2 linked regions of the Rhinolophus ferrumequinum genome follow. The protein of the gene in region 1 interacts with the protein of each later gene in a pairwise test. Links are inferred from orthologs where the notes say so. Each region holds a gene or a part of one and is shown in the gene's direction. Other genes may lie near its edges. The genes, in order: TFAP2A and GSTO2.

Region 1 (10,763 bases):
GAATCGTGAACTTCTTCACCTACTGAGAAACACTTTGATCTGGGATCCGACGCTGAAGCACCCCTGGGGGCTGCCGACTCGGATTCGCGAGGCCGGGAACTGTTCTGAACCTCGGGACTGTTCTGAATGAACCTGGTGGGCCGGTGGGGAACCGGGGACAGGGATCTGGGCCCCACTGCTTGCATCCAGATGCGCGGGACCTATCGGGACTGGCCCCATCTCCCGGCCTAGCCCTCCAACCCCCCATCTCGGGGTGGAGACTCTCCAAGCCCCAAAGTTTCGAGGGGGAGGAGAGCCATGGGAAGAGTGTAGATGCCCCTATTGCTCGAGTGCGTAAACACAGCCACTCGCGCTCACATCGCACCCAGCACACCCCAGCAGGCAGTCTGCCTCGGTTCCCCGGTCAGGGACTGACCGGGAAAGCGGGTTGGGGCTGTTGGGAAAAGCTGGAACTGATGGCGAGATTGCCGCGGCTATAAATCCATCACTTCCCAGGTCAGCTCCGCGAGGCGCTTGGGACTAGGGCTGGCGGAGTGAATTCCTGGGCTAACGCGCATGCGTCGGCAGGTAGCAACCCAGCTCTTTATGACCAGGTGAGATGTTGGTGAGCAGGTAAAAAAGGAGGATTTGCCCAAGCGATTCCAAGGAGCGGGCCCGGTCGAGCCCTATAGCCCATGCCCGGCGGGGACCAGTCGCCAGGAGCGCCGAGCCGCGATGTCCATACTTGCCAAAATGGGGGACTGGCAGGTACGGGGGTTTGACTGGGCTGGGGCCGAGGTGGGCGGGGGTGGAGCGGGGGAGGGGGGCGGGAGGGGGAGGCGGAGAGGAAGAGCCGTGGCCCAGGGCAGGAGAGTAGTAGGTGAGGCGCGCCTGGCAGCGCCCAGGAGTGTTCCCAGGAGAGAAAGAGGACAGGAAAAACGCGCGCAGGCGGCGGCAGCTGCGCTGGGGGCAACGTGCGCTGCCCGCGGGGCCCGGCTCTCGGGAAAGTTCGGCGTACGCTCTACAAGTGGCCCTGGGGGTCACTTGTGGTTTGCGCTACAGCCTTCTCCCAAACCCCAAGTAGAAACTGGGGAGGATGACAAATTCAGGAGTGGGGAGGGCGCAGGGCGGAGGCTGCGGTGCGCCGTGATGAGTGTTCCCTGCTTGCAATGCTTTAGGTCTTGCCCCAGACCCCAGGGCTGCGCGTGAGGTGGGGTTCTGGTGCACCTGTCTCTCCTTGTGCCTCCAAGTTTTGGGGACCTAGGAGGTGTGGAGAATGGAAAGGGGTCCGGAGAGGCGCGCGGCGAGCACGTTCTTTTCGGATATACTTCAAAGAGTTTGCGCAAAGTTTAGCTTCTCAGTCCGCTTCCTGAAGCCAGTTTTCTCTGCTTGGGCTCCGGATGGGGGTGACTGGATGGGGGTTGAATGGTGGATTATAAAGAAGAAGGTCTAAGATTTGCCGAAACCAAAGCTTGCTACACTTGGCCCTGCTAGGCCGCAGGCACCACAAGGCCAACTAGGCTCCGGATCCTGCCCGCCCTGAACCACGAACCCGGACCCCGGCCACGGGAGCATTCGCCCAGCGCTCTCCTTCTAACTTCCAGATGTTTCCCCTGTGGGAACTAGGGCGGCTTTGGCCAGGTTGGCGAGGGTAGCAGCCTCTCCCCTGTTGTCGATTTCGTAATGGGAACCCCGGGGCCCTCTTTTCGCCCCAGCAAAGCGAGGCCTGATAAGGGCGAGGTTCTGCTCGCCTAAGTGTGTAGGGAGATTCGAACCAAACGCCCCGATTTGCCAAAGAAAAGTCGAGGCCCTGCTCCTTCTGGGGCGAGTTCTTTCGCTTGTTTCAGATTTAGGCCATTAGAAGTAAAGTTCGGAGAAGTTCGGTCTTCACCACATTCCCTGGGGTTGGGGAAAGGAAGTCATATTGCAATATTTCTTTCCTTGCGCTCAATTGTTGTGTTTATCAACCGTGAGCTCTTTTATACCTCTGCCCCCAGTTAAATATCACTAAATGAAACTTCCTCCCCAAAGTTACACTAACTTTGTGGTTTAAGGATACAAATCCCACACCAAACACAAGTCCTGGGAAAGCACACCTTTCTCTCCCTGCTTCTGTGGGCCTCAGGGCCCTTCATTCTCTTCTCTGGAGGGTGAAAACTGGATAAAGTTCTTTGGCTGAGGTTTTTCGGGTTTCCTCTGTGAGGCGGAAAAACTGCTGCAGAATTCCTCTGCAGTGAGAAGGCGCTGGGAGTGCAGGCAGGGTTTGGGTCTGGGCCTCTAGTGGGCCCGACTAAGGTTCCGAAGCAGCTAGATTACAGCCTGAAGAGGAAAGGAGTGAGCCATGGGCCTGGCTCAGGCGGGGATCTGGGTGGGTGGGGGTACGGCAGATTTGGGACCAGGAGGGGCGGGATGCTCCGCCGAGCTTGGTTGGCCTTTTGGGCTCCGGGGTCCTACTGGGTGGTGACAACTGGAGAGAACAGAGTCATTGTGGCCCCTCGCCGTCTCTTTGTTTCTCTTGGTGTCTCTGTCTCTCATACAGATACTTGCTCTTCCCCCCCACGCCCCCAAATCGGGCCTGGACCCCCACCTCTAACCCCAGGCCTGGCGCTGCTGTCCTGGGGTCCGGGCGAGGCCGCAGCATTGACATGCAATCAAGCGACTTGTCGTGGTAATGACGCTCACACCAACGCGGCTCCGCTGGCTTCAGGGGCGACCGGGGTGCCTGCCCTGGCCTTTCTTCAGTGCCCATAACACTGGCGGCGGCGCTGAGCCCGCAGGCCCCGATCTGCACCTCAAAGGCGCCCTCGGCGGGAATACAACAACAGTTTAGCAGCCCCGGCGGGTGCGGAGCCGGAGATCTGCGGGGCGCGGGACAGCAAGGTGGGGGGTCGTGGAGAAGATGAAGGGCCAATGCCTTCCTCAGCCCACAAACTGAAAGAAAGAAAGCGAAACTTAGAGTTCCCTTAAGCACGCTGTGGCGACTTCTGGGGGTGGAAAATCCATGCTCCCAGGCCTACGATTTGGCCTACAGATCACGCTCTGCGGCTGCGGCCACCGCTGGGAAGGTGTCAGTCCCCCAGGCGGCCCATCTCCCGACTTCAAGCCGCTGAGGTGAACCCCAGGGCAGCCCCACAGAGTGAGTGGTGCTAGCACTAGAGCTGACTTTCCAGAGTGGAGTGAGGTGGGGAGCGGAGAACTAGGTTCAGCCTCGAGACTGTGCTAGTGTTCAGGGAGGGAAGGGAGGGCAGGGCAACACCCAGGGCTTCCGGAGGGAGTCCCCGGGCTCTGATTCCCTCTTCTAGCCCTAGTCCTCCTAACTTTTGTGGGGGAGGGGTTCTGGCCTACTCTGCGTGGCTTGAGAAATTTGCTGCGGTCTTCTGGAGGGAGAATTTCCCTTCCCCAGGCTGGGGGAGGGGGGCGGAGAGGGGCACTCTCTCCTTCTGCCTTTTTTCCACCTGTTAGGGAACGCTCAGATTTTCAACAGTTTCTACCTCACTTCGAGTTCGCAGTATGGAAACCTGGGAGGCCTGGGGATTTGCAGAAAACAGGCCCAGAAGGCACAGGGGTCGTTAGTAGAGCAGCTCTGAGGCGAGACCTACTCTTGTTGGGGAGTTTGCTGTGTTCGAGTGGGAAAAAGACAGAGCGAAACTTTTTTATGGAGGACAAATGAGGAAGCTCGGCCAGAGAAATGAATTACTCTGTATTTCGAGAATCACATCTTTGTATTTTATTTCTTCCTTTAAAAAAATTCACTAAAACAGAAGAAAAAAATGTAAAGCCCCGGTGGGGCGAGCAGGCTCCCGTGTAGAGCGGGATAGCCTAGACTGGCCAACCTGCACGAGGGGGTAGCTGCCGGGCCTCAGGGTTCGGCGTCAGCCGGGCACCGCGCGGCGAGTGCGCCCGCGTTAGTAACATCACCAAATCATGAAGGAACTCTTCCTGCTTTAATTAAAAAGGGGGATCTTGGGAAAACTGGAGCAGATTAGCACAGCGAAGAGTTGGTTCCCAGCGATTTATTTTGATGCATGCATGACACAGTGCTCACATGTCAGTATTTCGGCTCAACTCCAGAAGCGACTGTGAGTCTCCATAGGAGTTCTGTGTCCTTCTGCATGTCGCATCCGGGAAACCCTCAGCCCAAACACCATGTTGGTGTGTCACTCGGCCCTAGCTACATACAAACGAGAGGAAGATCATTTAACCCCCAGAGCTGTTCAGTAACCTTTTCAGGGTACAATTTTTATTTTACACGCGGCAATTAAAGGATCGCAAACCCCAGCCGAGCGACTGGAACCGTTTGGCAAAATCTCCAACCTGGAGGAAAGTGCAAAGCCAATAAAACTCCCAAGGCTCTGCGGCCTGAGGTGGTGCTGCCCCGAGCGGAGGCGATCTCTTGTTGGGTAAAAATCCTGGAGTGACTTCGCTGGTCTTGGTTTGGTGGTTATATTTAATTGCGAAAGAGATAATAATTTCTAATACAAGTGGACGGGGCCGAAAGGACAGCGCCGTTAGTGGCAGCAGGGGTGGGAAAAAGGTGCTGAGAGCCGAGCCCCAGGCGCGGCCGCTCGGGCCCTGCGCAGCGTCCGGCCTTTGCTCAGGGCATCTCCCGCGAGGAGGCGACGGAGGGGAAGGGGAGTGGGGAGGAATGGGAGGGGGGGTGGCACAGTTAGGACAGGGGTGTGCGGCGGCGCTAGGGGAGATTTCCTCGGCTCACAGGCAAGCGTGCGCTCTAGGAGCAAGTTCGCGGCTCGGAGAGGCCTTTATACCTGGGTCGGAGCGGCCGGCGGCAGATTGTGGTGCTGGCGAGTAATTGGACTATTGTTGATATGCTAATGAGGCGATTAGGCTGTTGGTAAAGAGCTGGAAAAAGGAAAAGTTTCTACCATTAGAGGGAGATCTCCGAGCGCACACGGGAGCTCTATCCCTTCTCTCCTCCTCCTCCTCCTTCTCACCCTCCTCCTCCTCCTTTTTGCCCTCCTCCTCCTCTCCCTCCTCCCTCCTCCTCCTCCTCCCTCCTCCTCCTCCTCCTCCTCCGCTCCCCGTCGCAGCCTGCACTTTGCGCTTACCCAGAGAGTAGCTCCACTTGGGTGCGAGGCGGAGAGGGGGCAAATCCGTTCACGCCGATCCATGAAAATGCTTTGGAAACTGACGGATAATATCAAGTACGAGGACTGCGAGGTAAGCGCGGCGCTGGCTCAGTTATCCTCGCGGCCTCAGGCTCCGAGCTCTACCTTCCCGCACCTCCTCGCCTCCAGCTGAGAAACGCGGGTGAGACAAACTTTCCCAAGCGCAGCGCTCGCCTCTCGGATTCGCCCGATGAACGCAGGGGAGAGGCTGGAGAGGGAGGATGTTGGATGCTCCCTTTTTCATTTCCCTCCTTGGAAGCCCATGTCCCACTTTCTCCCTTTTTCTGACCAATGTTGGCTGTGTCTAAGAGTAGAGCGAAGAGACAAGCATGGATTTTTTGAAGCAATTGCTGGCAGTTGGGCACGCGCCTGTGCACTCTGCGTGTCTCACCAGCGAGATTCTTGGGGCCCAAGTACCAGGAAGAGAAAGGAAAGAGAAAAAAACCCTTTTCCCCTTTTTAACCTCCTTTCTGATCCTTAATATTCCCTATTTTATTTATTTATTTTTCCTTGCTTCCGTCCTCCCCGCCCCCCTTTCTTAAAAGGCTCATTTCTGTTTGGAGAAGGGGTCCGCACACTTCGGTCTGAGCCTGGGTTGCATCTCCTAGTTAGCGGGTTCACTTTGAGAGCACTCATTTCCCAAATCACAACGGGGCCCGCCGCAGGTAGTCTACGTTATTCAAGAAGTTCTAAGCCGCTTCTCCCTCTGAGCTACTTGGTCGGCGCATCCCTGGGGTGGGGGTGGAGGACTGAGCCACACGGAGTCTGCTGGCTGCGGGTCCCCACGCATCTGCCCCTACAGGAGCCCAGCACTCGGCTGTGTGACCTGGCGGGGCTGCATGCGACCTCCAGTGCGGAGAGCCCGCCGGGCCAATAAAGCGCGCCGCACTGGAACCCATTTAAAAGCCCAGGGTCTCCGGATTTCGGCTTCTTGGGGCAGCCGGGGAAGCCCCAGCACCACCGGTCCGCCCGCGGGAGGCGCTGGGACCCGGCCTGGCGGCCGCCGCCCCAACCTCCCTCACAATCCCCGCTGAAATGATCCGATGATTCACGGGAGGGGAAGATGGAGGGGGCCGCGCCGGAGATTACCTAAATAAATAGGTGGGAGTCCCTGCTTTGGCTATTTTTCTTCTTCTTTTTTTTTTTCTTTTTGGCATTTGAAGTGGGAAAGCCAGGCGTGAAGGTCTGTGAGGACGCAGTGGCGGGGGTCTTGTCTTCACTTGAAATCAGAACCTGGTTTTATGTGAACGTTGTGTCACCGTCCCTTTCCCCCGTTCTTTCTGTAGACTATTTGAAATCTCACTCGTTTCCCGGGCCCTTCCTTTTCGTCCGACCCCGCTCCCCGCCCCCCATGGGGCAAGGGGTGACATCCCACCGGGACGCGCGCTTCTCTGGGGACTCCTGTGGTGCGCAGTGCAGGGCGCAGACACCCACGTCAGACCAGCTGCTTTGTTTTCAGGATGGGGGAACCTTTGAGAACTAGTCGGGGTGAAACTCTGCCCCTAAGTCTCCGAGGGTTTATTGTCCTGGTCGCCGCAGTAGCCCGGGGCTCGGGCATTCACTTTCGCGAAGGCCGAAACCCAGCTTCCAGCGCCGAGTCCGAACTTCCACGCCGCGCTAGGTGCCTATGGGACCTAGGTGGGAGGCGATGAATTTGCACCCCAAGAGAGAGACCCTGTGGGGGCGCATGTGAATGTGTGTGTGAGGCAGAAAAGGAAAACAGAAACGAGACGAGGAAGAGAATAGAGTGAAGGCTGTTTCAATAACTTTGACTGCGGTGGGAGAGCGCCGGAGCAGGGATTTCGGGTTTCCGAGCCGGATTGGGGCTGTCTAATTATGTCGGGGCTCTGCAGAGACACGCAGGAGGCGAGGTGCCGCTTGTTCTGACAACCCGGCGGGCAGACTGGCAGCGGCGGCAGCCTTGCCGCGCTGGGAGAGAGCGAGCAGTGTCATCAGGGGGGGCGTCGGGCGGGAGTGGCCCAGCCAGTCGGACGGGTTTGTGCCGGGAGCCGGGAGCCCGTGCCAGCAGCGCCCAGGCTGGGCCGCCTCGCATCTCTGCCTGCCCCGGGCCGCGTCCGGGCTCCGGTCCCCGAGCCCCTGCCCTGGAGAGCCGAGGGCGGGGCGGCAGCTGCCGCAGAGAGCACAGCGCAGGGTGTCCGAGGGAAACTCGCTCCGCGGCGGAGGCGAGGGCCGGTCCGGGGAGGGGCGCCGAGTTATGGAGGAGCGGCGCGGCAGCCGGCAGCAGAATCCCAAGTCCCAGGCCCGGCTGCGGAGCGGAGGAGCCCGCGGCCGGAGAGGGCGGGGAAACACCGCGGGTGCCGAGAGCCGGATGAACGCCTGGACGCGGTCGCCGGCAGCTCCTGTCCGCGACGCACGGCCCCCACGGTATCCCGAGGTCTGCCCCAGTCTTTTAGGTCCGATTGTCCTCTCTCGCTTCCTCTCCCCCTCCCCCTCCCCCGCGGCCTCCCCCTCCGTGAGCTCCGACTCGGCCCCCTCCTCCCTCCCTCCCTCCCTCCCTCTTTCCCTCCCTTCCTTTTCTCGGCCTCTCCCTCCTTCCCTCCCTCCCCTCTTCCCACTCCGGGCTCCTCTCCCTCGCCCACACTTTCTTTCTCACACACGCACGCAGACACATTCTCCCTCTCCGCGCTCTCTCCCTTCGTCTCCCTCTCTCCCTCTTTCTCTTTCACTTTTGCATGCCCTGCAACCTTTTAAAATGTTGCCCCTTCCCTGTGATTCGCCAGACGCCGCGCGGCGGCCCCCCGCGCGCTCGCCCGCTCCCTCTCTCGCCCGCTTTTTGTCTCTCGCGCTCCCGCTCCCCACCTCCGATTTGCTACACTGAGGCTCCCGTCAATGGACTGCATTGAGAGCCGGCTCCGGCGCGAGTTGCCTCTCCGCTTCACGCTCGATTTCCAGGCATTCTTCCCTTATTAAGTATTCGTGTAATATTAATAGTCATGAATATCTGCTATTAGGAGGCTCCAGGAACGCTGCCCAGCGTGGTTATTAGAAGCTCAAGCGAAGCCGCCGCTAAGAAAAGAGGGGGAGACACGGATTAAGGAACACGCGCGCACACACACATACACACACACACACACTTTTTCTTTTCCTTTTTTGGGGCCTTTCATTTTCTAAGGAACTTTGAATCATAACCGATCACGGCAGGATAGAGACCGTGGGTTCGACAAGCTGAAGGCGCCGCTCGAATCGGTGGTTCAAGTTCGGATGGACCAGAGCGGGGCTCCAGCGCTCGGGCGAGCGTCGGCGCGGTGACTGGAGTTCTGGGTGGCGCGGGGCTCCCGGCGCCTTTTGTGTGGGGCGTACTCGGGCGGCGGGGCAGCCGGGCTCTCCAGGCTTGCTTGGTTTCTTCCACCCTGACTCGTTACCCCAGACTCTTCGCAGATGTTAGTTCACAGTTTTTCAGCTATGGTGAGTCCCATCCCCCACCCCATCCCTGTTTCCTTAGGAATTCTATTCTGGAAACCTGGTGCTACGGAGCTGCCCAAAACCTCGGGTTTCACGCCCAGGTTTCCATCAGGGCACCCCTTTCCATTTGCATTTTCTTCTTTCCACTTTTCTCTCTTCCATTCTCAAATCGAATGCTTTACCCCGCGTCCCCGCTCCACCTCTCCCGCGCGCAGACCTACCTCGCAGCTACTTCCCAAGGCATGTTTCTCTCCACGTTCATCTTTATTTCCTTGCGTCTTCACTTGTTCTCGAGATGTGCTCAACATTTGAAGCTTAATCCGTTTGCAGTAAAAACGCAGCCCAGAGTGCCCCTTACCCTCGGGGCCGGGGCATTCCCTGGAACCAACTCTGTTCGCTTGTTTTGCAAGTGAATTGCAATAGAGGAACATAAAGTCAGGCGTTTCTTCTGCCCTTTGGGGCTGGGGTGAAAGGGGCGGGGGCCTCCGCCCCGGGGTGCACTTCTCTCTTTTAAACCCAATAAGGCTGAATCTTTCTATTTTAAACCTTGACTTGAAGTCCCCTTCTCCCCATTCATATCATAAACCGACCCTGTGGAGAAAAAGGCTCCTAACTGAGGAAGCGGAAAAGACAGACCCCCAACCTGCAGTTAAAACCTTCTTTAAGCTGGTAATTTGAACGTGTGCTTTCTTTACAGCCCCTCTACAAAATATGTTTCTATTTAAATAGTCATGAAATGCCAATAGTCTTTGAACGTGTATGATTTTTTCCTCCAAATAAATGGAAAAGGGTAAACAATAACGCACTAGCAGGCAAGTTCAAATACGGGGGAAAGAAAAGGCCGCTTCTACTGCTTAATATTTGGCAGGGATTTTAATCTTGCTTAAGGGAGGTTTCACACCCCAGCTTAACGGGCTGTATTCTAGGAGGCCCTTTTTTATATTTTCCCCCCGTTGAAAGAAAAGGCTATGGAGACTCTCTTTTATGCCTCCACATTTGCACAGCTTAATTCCTTGAGTTTTTGGAAGGGCCCGTTTCACTTCGGGGGTATTTTCCGAAATGAACAACTTAGAGCTCATTTCTTCCGGCGGCCTGCCGTCGGGAAGGGGCGGTTTCCCACCCAGTCTTGCGGAGTGGATTTAGTGTGGAAAGCTGTAACTCGACGCCTGATTTCTTGTTCTTCCCCCTTGCTCTCGCTCTCTTCTAGGACCGTCACGACGGCACCAGCAACGGGACTGCACGGTTGCCCCAGCTGGGCACTGTAGGTCAATCTCCCTACACGAGCGCCCCGCCGCTGTCCCACACCCCCAATGCCGACTTCCAGCCCCCCTATTTTCCCCCACCCTACCAGCCTATCTACCCCCAGTCGCAAGATCCTTACTCCCACGTCAACGACCCCTACAGCCTGAACCCCTTGCACGCCCAGCCGCAGCCGCAGCACCCGGGCTGGCCCGGCCAGAGGCAGAGCCAGGAGTCAGGGCTCCTGCACACGCACCGGGGGCTGCCCCACCAGTTGTCTGGCCTGGATCCTCGCAGGGATTACCGGCGACACGAGGACCTTCTGCACGGCCCACACGGGCTTGGCTCAGGACTCGGAGACCTCCCAATCCACTCCTTACCTCATGCCATCGAGGACGTCCCGGTAAGAGGCCGCGCGGATGGCTCGAGAGGGAGTGCAGCCCCTACTCACCCACCCCTAGAGAAGATGTCGGGAACATACAGCCGGTGGGCCCGGGTTTTCCTCAGTGGCGTTTACTTTTTCAAAATGTCATTTTAGATTTTGGGCGGGCGCTTTCAGGACCCACATGGACAACCGAATTAAAAAATTAAAAAGAAATTGAGAGTTCTGCCCCTAGAACAATGGTTCCTGGAGCTCCTCCAAACAATGCCTGCATTACCATTTCCACCAACACAAATAAATCAGACAAATGTCACCGTTAACAATATCTTACCCCCTCCAAGACAGTAAACTATTTCGATTAGGAGAGGATCTAATTCCACTGCTGAGTCCTGGCATGGTAATTTCTCCCTGTCCTGAAAAGGATGTTAAGTTCAACCGAAAGAGCTCATTAAATGCCCTAGTAATTTAAAAGAACGTGTAAAAGACATACTAAGAAAATTATTTTTACCGGATTTTGTAAGCACCAGTCATGTCTGAAAGTTATGTGTATACCCTACCCTGATTAAAGAATAGTTAAGTAGCAAATCCGAGCAGAGGGACATTAAAACGCAGCC
Region 2 (10,451 bases), on another chromosome or scaffold:
GAAAGAAATGGTTAAAGAAATACTCGAAGATGGGACTTACAGGGAAGACATATTGTTTAAGAAGACATTGCAAAGGGAGAAGGAAGAGGGAGTTGTCTGGCTTAGCAGGATGAGGGGCAAAGAACAGTAGAGATGGCTGCTGTCAAAAATGGTGGACAGGGAATATGGCATTTACAAGAAAGATGTTGGAGAATTAAAAAAAAAAGTAACGAAATTCATTGTACCATCTAGAAAGAAAATGAGCTAAAAGCTGGAGATGTGCACTATTACTTTCCTGCTCACATTCAGGGAAAAGGTGGTCTTAGGTACCATATGACCCCACCCTTCTGGCCACAGCTCAGCAAACCAGAAATGCCCCCACTCACACCCCCAGCTCAATCATCTTCTCTTTTAGAAATTTGGAACTGAGATACAGAGACTAAGGCAGTAAAGGTGTGAAAGCTTTGGAGCCATATATATATTAATAATTGGAGATTTGACAAACCAAAGCCCCATAAAAATAAAATTTTAAGCAAGTGGAAATTCAGAGCACTGCAAAGGGAACTGTATATAGAAAATAATATGGAATAGACATTTAAGGAGAAGCAGAGGAAAGACCAGGCAGGCCCAGATGGAAATGTGGACGAATGGCTGCCTGCAAATCTTTAGTTCCAATGAGGGCAAGCTATACTGACATCAGTGGGATTTCAGGAGACTTCGTATTTTTACAAGTATCCATATTTTTATGAGTGCCTGCTTACTTAAACTGGGATGAGTGGACTTCTCTTGCGGTGAGATGATATCAAAGACCGAAGTATTAAAACACTCACCCACCACAAGCATTAAAGCATGTGACACTACACCTGTCAGGTCTTCAGGTAGTCAGTCCCCTTTGAAGACTTTGCATGTCTTCCCTAAGAGGGAGCTGGGGAAGAAAAATTCTCTTCCCCAGCTCCCTCTGCAGCTGGGGCCAAGGCCCGGGACCTAGGCTCTCCAGTCAGATAGACACATGGTAGAGTTCAATTCAGAAACGAGCCATGTGAGGAAATAGGCTTGGTGGGGGGCACTGGTTCTGCTGGTGAGTGGCTGGTGGCAGAGCTTCTGGCTTTCAGGAGCTGTGGTGGGTGGTTGCAAGGTTAAATTCCCGGGGTAGAAACAGCTTTGGTGCTAGTGGCATTAGTTACTTGAGAGTCCAGGTTCTGGCAGTGACTCAAACTGTAACCTCTAGTTTCAGCTCACCGGCACTAGAAACTCTAGTTTCAGAGTGCTTTCCATCAGGCCAGTCTGAGCATGATTTTGGAATGTTCCAGTCTAGTTCCAAGCATATTTGTTCAGCCTCTCAACAATTCAGTGAGATAATCAGTGTCCTTTAAAGATATTTTTTGGCTCAAACTTGTCACGGTGCGTTCTATGATTTGGAACTTATAAAATCCTGACCGACACAATATCTTAGGCCACAAAACTGTTATACTAAGATCAGCATATAATCTCTGTGAACACAGGAATTAGTGCACCCTTGAAGTTTCTTGAACACTGATACTGGGACTATGAGGGTTCTATTGTGTTTTTATATGAGGCCGGTATAATTAGCCTCCCGTGATAAACTAAGAAATTGTTCTCTATCTAGATACCACCTTTGGTGGGAAGCTTTCTTAGAAGTAAAAATAAGGAAGACCGGTCTGGCCTAAAAGAAGAATTTCGTAAAGAATTCAGCAAGCTTGAGGAGGTAATCAATCACTTCTCCTAGCTTTTATCAGTAAATGATACACTGTATCTACTCTCTTCTTCCTTCTACTCTTTTCTTCATATTACCATTTCCCAAACACTTTATAGCAATTAGTAATAATAATACCAAGTAAAAATTTTTAGTTTACAACAGATTGCCATAAGCTACTGTGTTTAAGATGTAAACCAAAACACCTAAAAATATTGTGTCATGAGCTCGCTTTTAAAACATTTTGTTGTAGTGACATTAAAATAAGAAGGAAAAAGAGATATTCACCAACATTTCTACAATGTGTCACCTATTTTCTTTTTTCCAGTCTTTGTCCATATATTAAAAAAAATGTACATAACTATAATCAGAGCATAGATACCATTCTGTGTTCTTTTTCCACTTAGTATTATATAATAAACATTTTCCACCACAAAGCATTTGCCATGAATCTTACAGACACTTTTGTTTCATCTCCTTTCGGGTAGAGCTGCCATTTGGGTCTTTAGATTGAGTCTTCCTCTTGGCCTTGAGACATTCCAAATACTCAAGTAGATTCAATCAGTCTACAATGCAGAATGTTATGTGTGCCCTGAGAAAAACTAGTTTATAAAAGTTAAGTTGGTTTGGTGTTATCCAGAAAATATTCTGTTCCCTGCTTTGACAAAACTGTAATACCAATTCACCTTCTTAAATTTTAGAAACATACTATTTGTCCTTCCACAGCCATGGAACGAGCACCCAAATCAAGAAACAGAATATTAATTTTGGCTATTTTTTGTGCCTTATACAAATGGAATCATATAATTGGGTCTGGTTTCTTTCATACAGTATTAGGTTTGTGAAGTCCGTATACCTATATGTTGTACATAGTTCATTCCTATTCTTTGTATAGTGTTCCAATTTATGACTGTACCACAATTTTTTTTAATCCTTTTTACTCCCGATGGACAGTAAACATTTCCACTTTGGGGCTATTACAAATTATGTTACAAATAATGCTGCAGTGAACATTCTTATCTTTGGGTGAATATATGTTCACATTTCCAAGTAGAATTACTGGGTAATAGAGAATATATGCACTCAGCTTTAGTAGATACTGTTAAAACATGGTTGTACCAATTTACATTCCTATCAGCTGTGGTTCCACACTCTTGCTTTGTCTTGTTCATTTAGCAATTCTAATGGATGTATTAGAATGTGGTGTTACATTTGGTTCTAATTTGCATTTCCCTGATCACTAATGTAGTTGGAGCAAGCACCTTTTCAAGTGGTCATTGGCCTCTGGGACATCCTGTTTTGTGAAGTGCAAGACTTGCCCAATTTTCTAATGGGTGTTTGCCTTTTTTCTTTTGATTCCCAGTTCTTTCTATATTTTGAATACCAGTCTTTTGTTTATTACAAATATTTTGTACTCTATCCCTTATTTTATTTTTCTCCATTTTCCAGTTTATTTTGTTGATTGTTGTTGCTTCATCTCAAACCAACAGATTCTAAAGTTTCAACTGATCAAATAGACAAAAAGCCAACTTGGATATGTCAGGGTAAATACTGCTGCTCTCACCACTCTACTTAACTCACCTGTGTCATCTCTGATGATGTTTTACTAGCTGCACAATAAGTACTCTTATGCTGTTTAATGTTCAGGTTCTGACCAATAAGAAGACAACCTTCTTTGGAGGCAATTCGCTTTCTATGATTGATTACCTCATCTGGCCCTGGTTTGAACGGCTGGAAGGACTGGAGTTAACTGAGTAAGACATTTGAATGTTTTGTGTATATTTTAGGATAATGATAATTGGAATAGTATATGTCGACCTTTTTTCTGCACAGAAATTAAAATATTTCATACAACTGGTATGAATGGGAACAAGCAGACAGGAGGAAAGACTTGGGCATATTATCTACCTATACTCACCACTCCTCCCCATTTAGGAGGGGCAGGAGTTCTGTGACATGTAGTAAAATGTTTTAAAAGTAATTTATTCCTTCCCTCCTGATTAAAAATCCATAAGGATGTACATTTCTATAAGGCTGTCATGCAGGAGTGTATGATCAATGCTACCTCCCATTTACCAGTAAGATTCCCATACTGTTTTCCAAATTGTGTATTTTGAAGTTTGGCAGCCACTTTGGCTTACTCCCAACTCAGAGCTTAGAGCATTCAGGGTTACTTCTTTTTTCTTTATTCTCTAAAAAATTTTTTATTTATTAAAAACATTTTTTTAAGTATAGTTGGTATACAATACTGTATTAGTTTCAGGTGTACAGTGTAATGATTCGACATTTATATACCTTACAATGTGATTACCACAATAAGTCTAGTAATCATCTGTCACCATGCAAACTGACCACAATATTATTGACTATATCCCCCTTCACCTTTATCACCACTTCCCCGCTGGCAAAAAAAGTTTGATCTCTCTTTTTTTTTTTAAGTTTTCATTACAGTTGACATACAATATTATATTAGTTTCAGGTGTACAACATAGTGATTAGACATTTATGCAACTTATGAAGTGCTCACCCCAATAAGTTTAGTACCCATCTGACACCATTTATATAGTATTACTGACTATATTACCTGTGCTGTTCTTTATAGCCCTGTAACTTTTTTTGTAATTGGCAATTTGTACTTCTTAATCCCTTCCTTTTAGTTACAATCTGGCCATAGATGGGTTGTCTTTCATGTTAAAAAAGTTACCAGTCTCAGTTTGCAAAAGTTCTTACATTAACTGAGCAAGTCATTTTACTTTAAAATTACTGTTCCATAAAACAAAGACCTCTACAACATGTTCCAAATCTAATACAGGCATACCTTGGAGATATTGCAGGTTTGGTTCCAGACCATTGCAATGAAGCAAATATTGCAATAAAGTGAGTCACACAAATTTCCTGGTTTCCCAATGCATATAAAAGTTGTTTACACTATACTGTAGCCTGTTAAGTATGCAGTAGCTTTATGTCTAAACAATGTACATAACCTTAATTAAAAAATACTTTATTGCAAAAAATGCTAACCATTATCTGAGCCTTCAGTGAGTCATAATCTTTTAGAGAGTTTTGCCCTAGTAACATTAAAGATCAGTGATCAAAGAGCACCATAACAAATAATGAAAAAGTTTGAAATTCTCTGAGAATTACCAAAATGTGACACAGAGACACGAAGTGAACAAATGCTCTTGGGAAAATGGCACCGATAGATTTGTTCAATGCAGGGTTGCCCCATACCTTCAGTTTGTAAAAAATGAGTATCTGAGAAGTGCAATAAAACAAGGCCTGCCTGTATTCTATGATTACATGAATTTTAAAGAAATATTTTTAAAGAACTACTTTAAAAGGTTAGAGGAGAAAATGAAACTTCAGAGTGATGATATATAGGAGACTGCAATGCCTTCCTACTTAGTCTAACTCATGCCTTCATTCTTTCCATCTCCCACAGGTGTGTAGACCACACTCCAAAACTTAAGCTCTGGATGGCAGCCATGAGGAAAGATCCCACAGTATCAGCCCTCCTCCTTGATGTGAAGACCTATCGAGGTTTCTTAGATCTCTACTTGCAGGATAACCTCCAGGCCTGTGACTATGGGCTCTGATGGGGGCAAGTCAGCAATGAAGATATGTCTGATATTTTCCTTCACTAATAGGAATAACAACATGCTTTAATTTTACTGAGTGCTCTCATGTGTCATTGGATCACCTTCTCTGAGTTGACATCACAGCTTAACTGTGAGGTTTCCTCAAGGCCCTCCCGCAGAATGTAAACACATTTCCTGCTCCAGATGCTCACATGACTCTAAGGGTTCTAACAGAGTCTGTGCTGAAAATCTCTAAATCATTCTCTCTAGTGAGATCTAGACTTCAATCTAGATTTCTAACTACCCTTAGGACATTTCCACTTGGATACCCTGTTGTCATTTCAAAGATGCCCTTTCAAGTTTGTCTTCAGAATTCTAAGTTGAGAAAATTTCAATTCCTCATTCTTTCCTTTCCATCATCAACTGCATTTCATTCCTTTATTGCTATTGTTACCACTGAAGAGCAAACCCACATCACCTCAAAGCCAGGTGACTAGGTGACCTATTTGGTCTCCCAATCTCCAATTTCTATCCCATTCAAATCCTTCTTACCAAATCCCATGCTGGGCATATAGCAGGTGTCCCGTATATAATTAAATACTGTGAGGACCACATCCCTCAATTCAGTATGGAAGGCTGGATGAGTAATAGGTAATATTCACATTCAGAAATATTAATGCCATCTTCCATACACTTCCATAGCCAATTGGGCTTCTATTTAATTTTTTGTCATCCCATCACCTCCAGGAGAAGGTGGGTCGGAGTCTTTTATTCTACAGATGATTCAACTAAGGTCGCGAGGTTAAATGAGGCCTTAAAACGCTGGCAGAAATATCTGGAAAACACACCCAGTACTCTGTTCATACTAACAGAATTAGAGGGCTATATAGATCAGCCTGTCCCAATACAGCCTGGTTTCCTGTACTTAAACGTTAGAGCGCATAGCAATCACGTAAGGTCCACCGCTGGATTTCAGATTCAGTAGGTCCGAGGTGGGCCGGGAAGTCCACATTTGAAATGAGCACCCCCCATCCCCCCACCCCCGCCCCGCCCCGCCCCGCCCCATGGTGATGCAGAAGATCCCGGGCCCGCATCGACAAGCAGCTGAGAACCGGCTGACTTCACAAACGGCCTCGGGCCGCCCACCCTCGACAGCCACCAACGCCCAAGCTCTGCGCGGACCCGTATGAGACATCTGCGAGTCCCCAAGACCCCGGTATCCAGGAGCTTGTAACGCGGCTGCTCATTGGCTCAGCTCGGCACTGATTGGCTGGAGCCCTTCCAAAGGCTTTGAGGGTTGGCTGAAGCTCCTAGTGTCGTGGCCAGTTGGCGGGTAGGATCTTGTTCTAGGGGGTGGGTTCTGCCGCCTGCGGCGGTCGTTCTACTTCCGGCTTCGTCTGCCTCGCGGGGGTAAATGCTTCGGGATGTCTCTCTTGTCACCTCTTCCGGGTGGGTTGGTCCGGCCAGCGTTGCGTTTGAAGGCAAGAGGGGTTTAAGGTCAATTCTGAATTTTGGGAAGTTTCACGATTTCGGGGCCCTGAATAGGATTGCCAACTTTTAATTTTGCCCAATATGTTTTTGAAAGCCATACTATTTCATCAAAGAATTTAACATTTAAAAAAGTGCAAGGTCTATATAATCTAAGAATAAAGAACAGGTCTTTAAAGCAATACCTTTAACTCAAAGGGAAAAAAACATTAAATTTTTTTTATTTTTCTGATTTGGCTGGAAACAGGTAAAGATGACTCAAAATCACTAATTCTCAGCCCTGCATTGGCACCACCAGTGTAGTAGCTACGTTATAGGGAACCCGCAGGCAGGGGAATTTGGTCCCAGGGAATGTCCTGTCTTTGTGAGGACTATGGGTCTTACATGCTGCGTTCTAATAATAAAAATAATAGCTAATGTTGAATGCTTATTAGGTAATAAATATTAAGCAATTTTCATCCAGTATCTGAATTACCGGTAATCCTCCCCAAACCACCTGATGTGTTAGTACCATCAACTCTGAATTACAAATGAGAACCTTAGGGCATAGAAAGTTGTTGTGATTTGCCCAAGGTCACCAGCTGGTACATGCTGAAGGAGATTCAAATCAAGCCTGAACTCTTAGTCATTCAGACCATTCTTGAGATAAGAATTTACTTATGCTCCTGCTCCAGTCTCATTACTCAATCACTTCTAGCATTTAGAGGTTGAGCCAGGTGCGGATAGTAGCCACCTTTTTGACATACGACTGGTATTATGCTTGGGATTTAACCAAAAGTGTTGATGTACACCGTGTTGTTTGATTTTACAAATGTTAGACTTTGGCTGATTACAGGATCTTGAAAATCTGCCTTTGTTCATTCAAATGTAACTACATCAAAATGTTTAAAAATCTTTTGTCTTTGCTCCCTCACCCTGTGTGGGGACAGAGCCCCAAAAAGCACTTTCCAGGCTCTCAGCCTCACATAGAAAGGTGCTGGCTCAGGTAGTAAATGGCCATCGACTGTGATCAAATGGCCATCAGCTGTGGCTAGTTGGCCGTCAGCTGTAACCAGTGAGCCATTAGCCATGAATATAACTGCCGTGGCTAGGCTAGCAGAAGAAGGGGGGAGCTAGCAAGAAGATGGTGGCTGAGCCTGCAAGCGGCGCAGTGAGGGTTGAGAATTGTGTTGCTCCTGTTTCCTGTTTCTCCAACCCAGCCGCCAGCGAGAGTATAGAGATATGACTCCCCTACTTATGGCTCCGTGGGTGTTCCTTTTTGGCCTAGCCATATCCTGCGTTTTTGTGTGGGGAGTGGGGCCAGAGACCCCGCTGGACGCCCCGCACGACACTTGGCGTAGTCAGCAGGATCTCCTGCATGACACCCTGTAAAATAGAAATAGGGATAGGAAAGCAGAATCAAGTACTTATAAAGGAAGTCTCCTTTTGACTCTGCTTTCCCCAGTGGGGAGATGAAGTTCCTCCTCTCACAACTTTGGTCAAGAACAATCTTATTTGATATGTCCCAGATTTGTGGGTGTTGGGGTGTGTGTGTGTGTGTGTGTGTATGTGTGTTGAATTGGGTGAAGGTGGTCAAAAAATACAAGCTTCCAGTTATTATAAATAAGTCCTGGGGATGTAATGCACAAGATGACTACCTATAGTTAACACTGCTGTATGGTATAGCTGAAAGTTGCTAAGAGAGTATATCCTAAAAGTTCTCATCATGAGGAAAAAATATTTTTTGTAACTATACGAGTATAAGGAGATGGATGTTAACTAAACTTACTGTGGTAATCATTTCATAATATATGCATGTCAAGTCATTATGTGGTACACCTTAAATTCATACAGAGCTGTATGTCAATTATATCTCAAAACTGAAAAAAAAAGTTGTCCCAAAGATATTAGAACTTAAGATTCCCTAGGATCCTAACTTCCTGGAAACAAGTCCTGAATCTAGTCTGTTTGAAAATAGAACCCTTTTCTTCACTTATCTCACTCTTTGAACTTGTTGAACAATATCCAATTGGTGAACAATATCCAATTGGTGAATAATATCCAAACACCCAATAATGTAACCTTTCATTTAAATTAGGCTTCTGAAATATTAAGAGGAGTGTCCTCCAGTTTCTGCCACTATTGGAGAGAGGTGTGAGAAAAAATTTTTGAAAAACTGAAAAGTGCAAACTCCTCATCTTCTCAAAACAGATTCATTTAAACAGAGTGAAGAAATTATTTCTGTGGTGGCATTCTTTTCCTAGAAGACTTAAGTCATTAATACCTATGACTCAAGAGCCCCACATTTTTCAAACAGATCCTATTATATTTCAGGGAGCTGGAAACCAAATTGGAGTAGGTTAATATGGCCCTGTTACCATTTGTTTTGTGCTTGAGTGAGTCAGTATAATAGAGATGTAAACATGTATAATAACTTAAAAGGAATATTTACCAAGAGGATGTCAAAGAGGTGCCTACTGGATCTTAAAAAGGAAGTAGGGATAAGCTTAAAGGTCATAATTAAAATCTTTCTAGGAAATCTATAGTGTTCAATGGTAAGATTAAAAACCACATTATTGAAATGTAGCCTGCAGCATTCAGCCCATTCAATTGGCATTTAACTGGTAAATGGTGAAATAAATATTCTGAATTGAATTCTAATTCTGATGTGGTTGGCAAAGTTGAATTGCAGTGCATTTCATCTTTATGGATACAAAATTGGAATGCACAATGCTATTTAAAATGTGTTCTTATTCACTAGTATTAGTCATTAATTTTAAAGTACATGGAGCTTTACTATACTGAGAATGGCCTGCATGATTTCATTCGATATTCAAAGCCCATCAAGTAGGTATTATTTGTGTTTTCATTTACAGGTGAGAAAGATGAAGGCCAGAGAGGTTAGATATCTTACATAAGTGCCAAAGCCAGGGTTCAAATGTAGTGCCAAGTGAGAACCTTGACATTATATTGCTTCCCTTCAGAGGAAGAACTGTTTCCATCTATCTGTTCTCCCCTAACTACACCAAATAGGCTTGAGTTTCAGAAAGTGAGTTCCCATCCACAGATACACTTTTAATAAACAATATGTCCCAATTCTCAGAGTTGATTTCCTTTAAAAGGTGGGATCAAGGGAAAAAAAGCAAAACTTGGAAATATGTTTTCTTTGCCATAGTGGAAAGGTGAATCCAGGAACCTTTTATCTTACGAATGGAATTCCGTTTGGCCATTACTAACTCAGTCATTGTCAGCATAGACCAGGGATTGGCAAACTAAGGCCAGAGAGCCAAATCCAGCCCACTGCTGGTTTTGGTACAGTCTAAAAGCATTTTTAAATGGTTGAAAATAATCAAGAGAAGAATCATAATTTGCGATGTGTGAAAATTATGTAAAATTCGCCAAGAGTGAGCCCTAATGTAAACTTGGGTGGTAATGATGTGTCAGCGTAGGTTCATCTATGGTAAGAAATGTGCCTCTGATGCAGGATGTGGATGGTGGGGGGGGGCTGTGCATGTGTGGCGGTAGTAGGTATATGGGAACCTGAAACTGCCCTAAAAATAAAGCCTATTAAAATATATACACATGAAATTCAAATTCAAACTCCCTAAACAATGTTTTATTAGAATGCAGCCACACTCATTCATTTATATATTACCTATGGCTGTTTTCACTTTACAAGGGTAGGGTTAAGTAGTTGAGACAAGATGGCTCAA

The links.
Region 2: the proteins of TFAP2A (region 1) and GSTO2 interact in binary tests that used the Homo sapiens proteins (3 or more experiments, as listed by UniProt). The two-hybrid records come from large-scale screens. The link is inferred for Rhinolophus ferrumequinum from reciprocal best matches to the Homo sapiens genes TFAP2A and GSTO2.

Annotation. Positions count from the first base shown.
Region 1 is NC_046292.1:83,618,733-83,629,495, forward strand, and holds the start of TFAP2A (transcription factor AP-2-alpha), read left to right. Parts: upstream 1-6,214; 5' UTR 6,215-7,320; coding exon 7,321-7,500; intron 7,501-7,925; exon of another isoform or gene 7,926-8,047; intron 8,048-8,365; exon of another isoform or gene 8,366-8,504; coding exon of another isoform or gene 8,505-8,531; intron 8,532-9,735; coding exon 9,736-10,170; intron 10,171-10,763.
Region 2 is NC_046299.1:21,188,035-21,198,485, reverse strand, and holds the start of GSTO2 (glutathione S-transferase omega-2), read left to right. Parts: upstream 1-6,343; 5' UTR 6,344-6,695; coding exon 6,696-6,720; exon of another isoform or gene 6,721-6,768; intron 6,769-10,451. Other genes in the region: GSTO1 (glutathione S-transferase omega-1), read left to right, coding at 1,607-1,705, 3,341-3,447, 5,136-5,289. UniProt on the Homo sapiens protein: Exhibits glutathione-dependent thiol transferase activity. Has high dehydroascorbate reductase activity and may contribute to the recycling of ascorbic acid. Participates in the biotransformation of inorganic arsenic and reduces monomethylarsonic acid (MMA).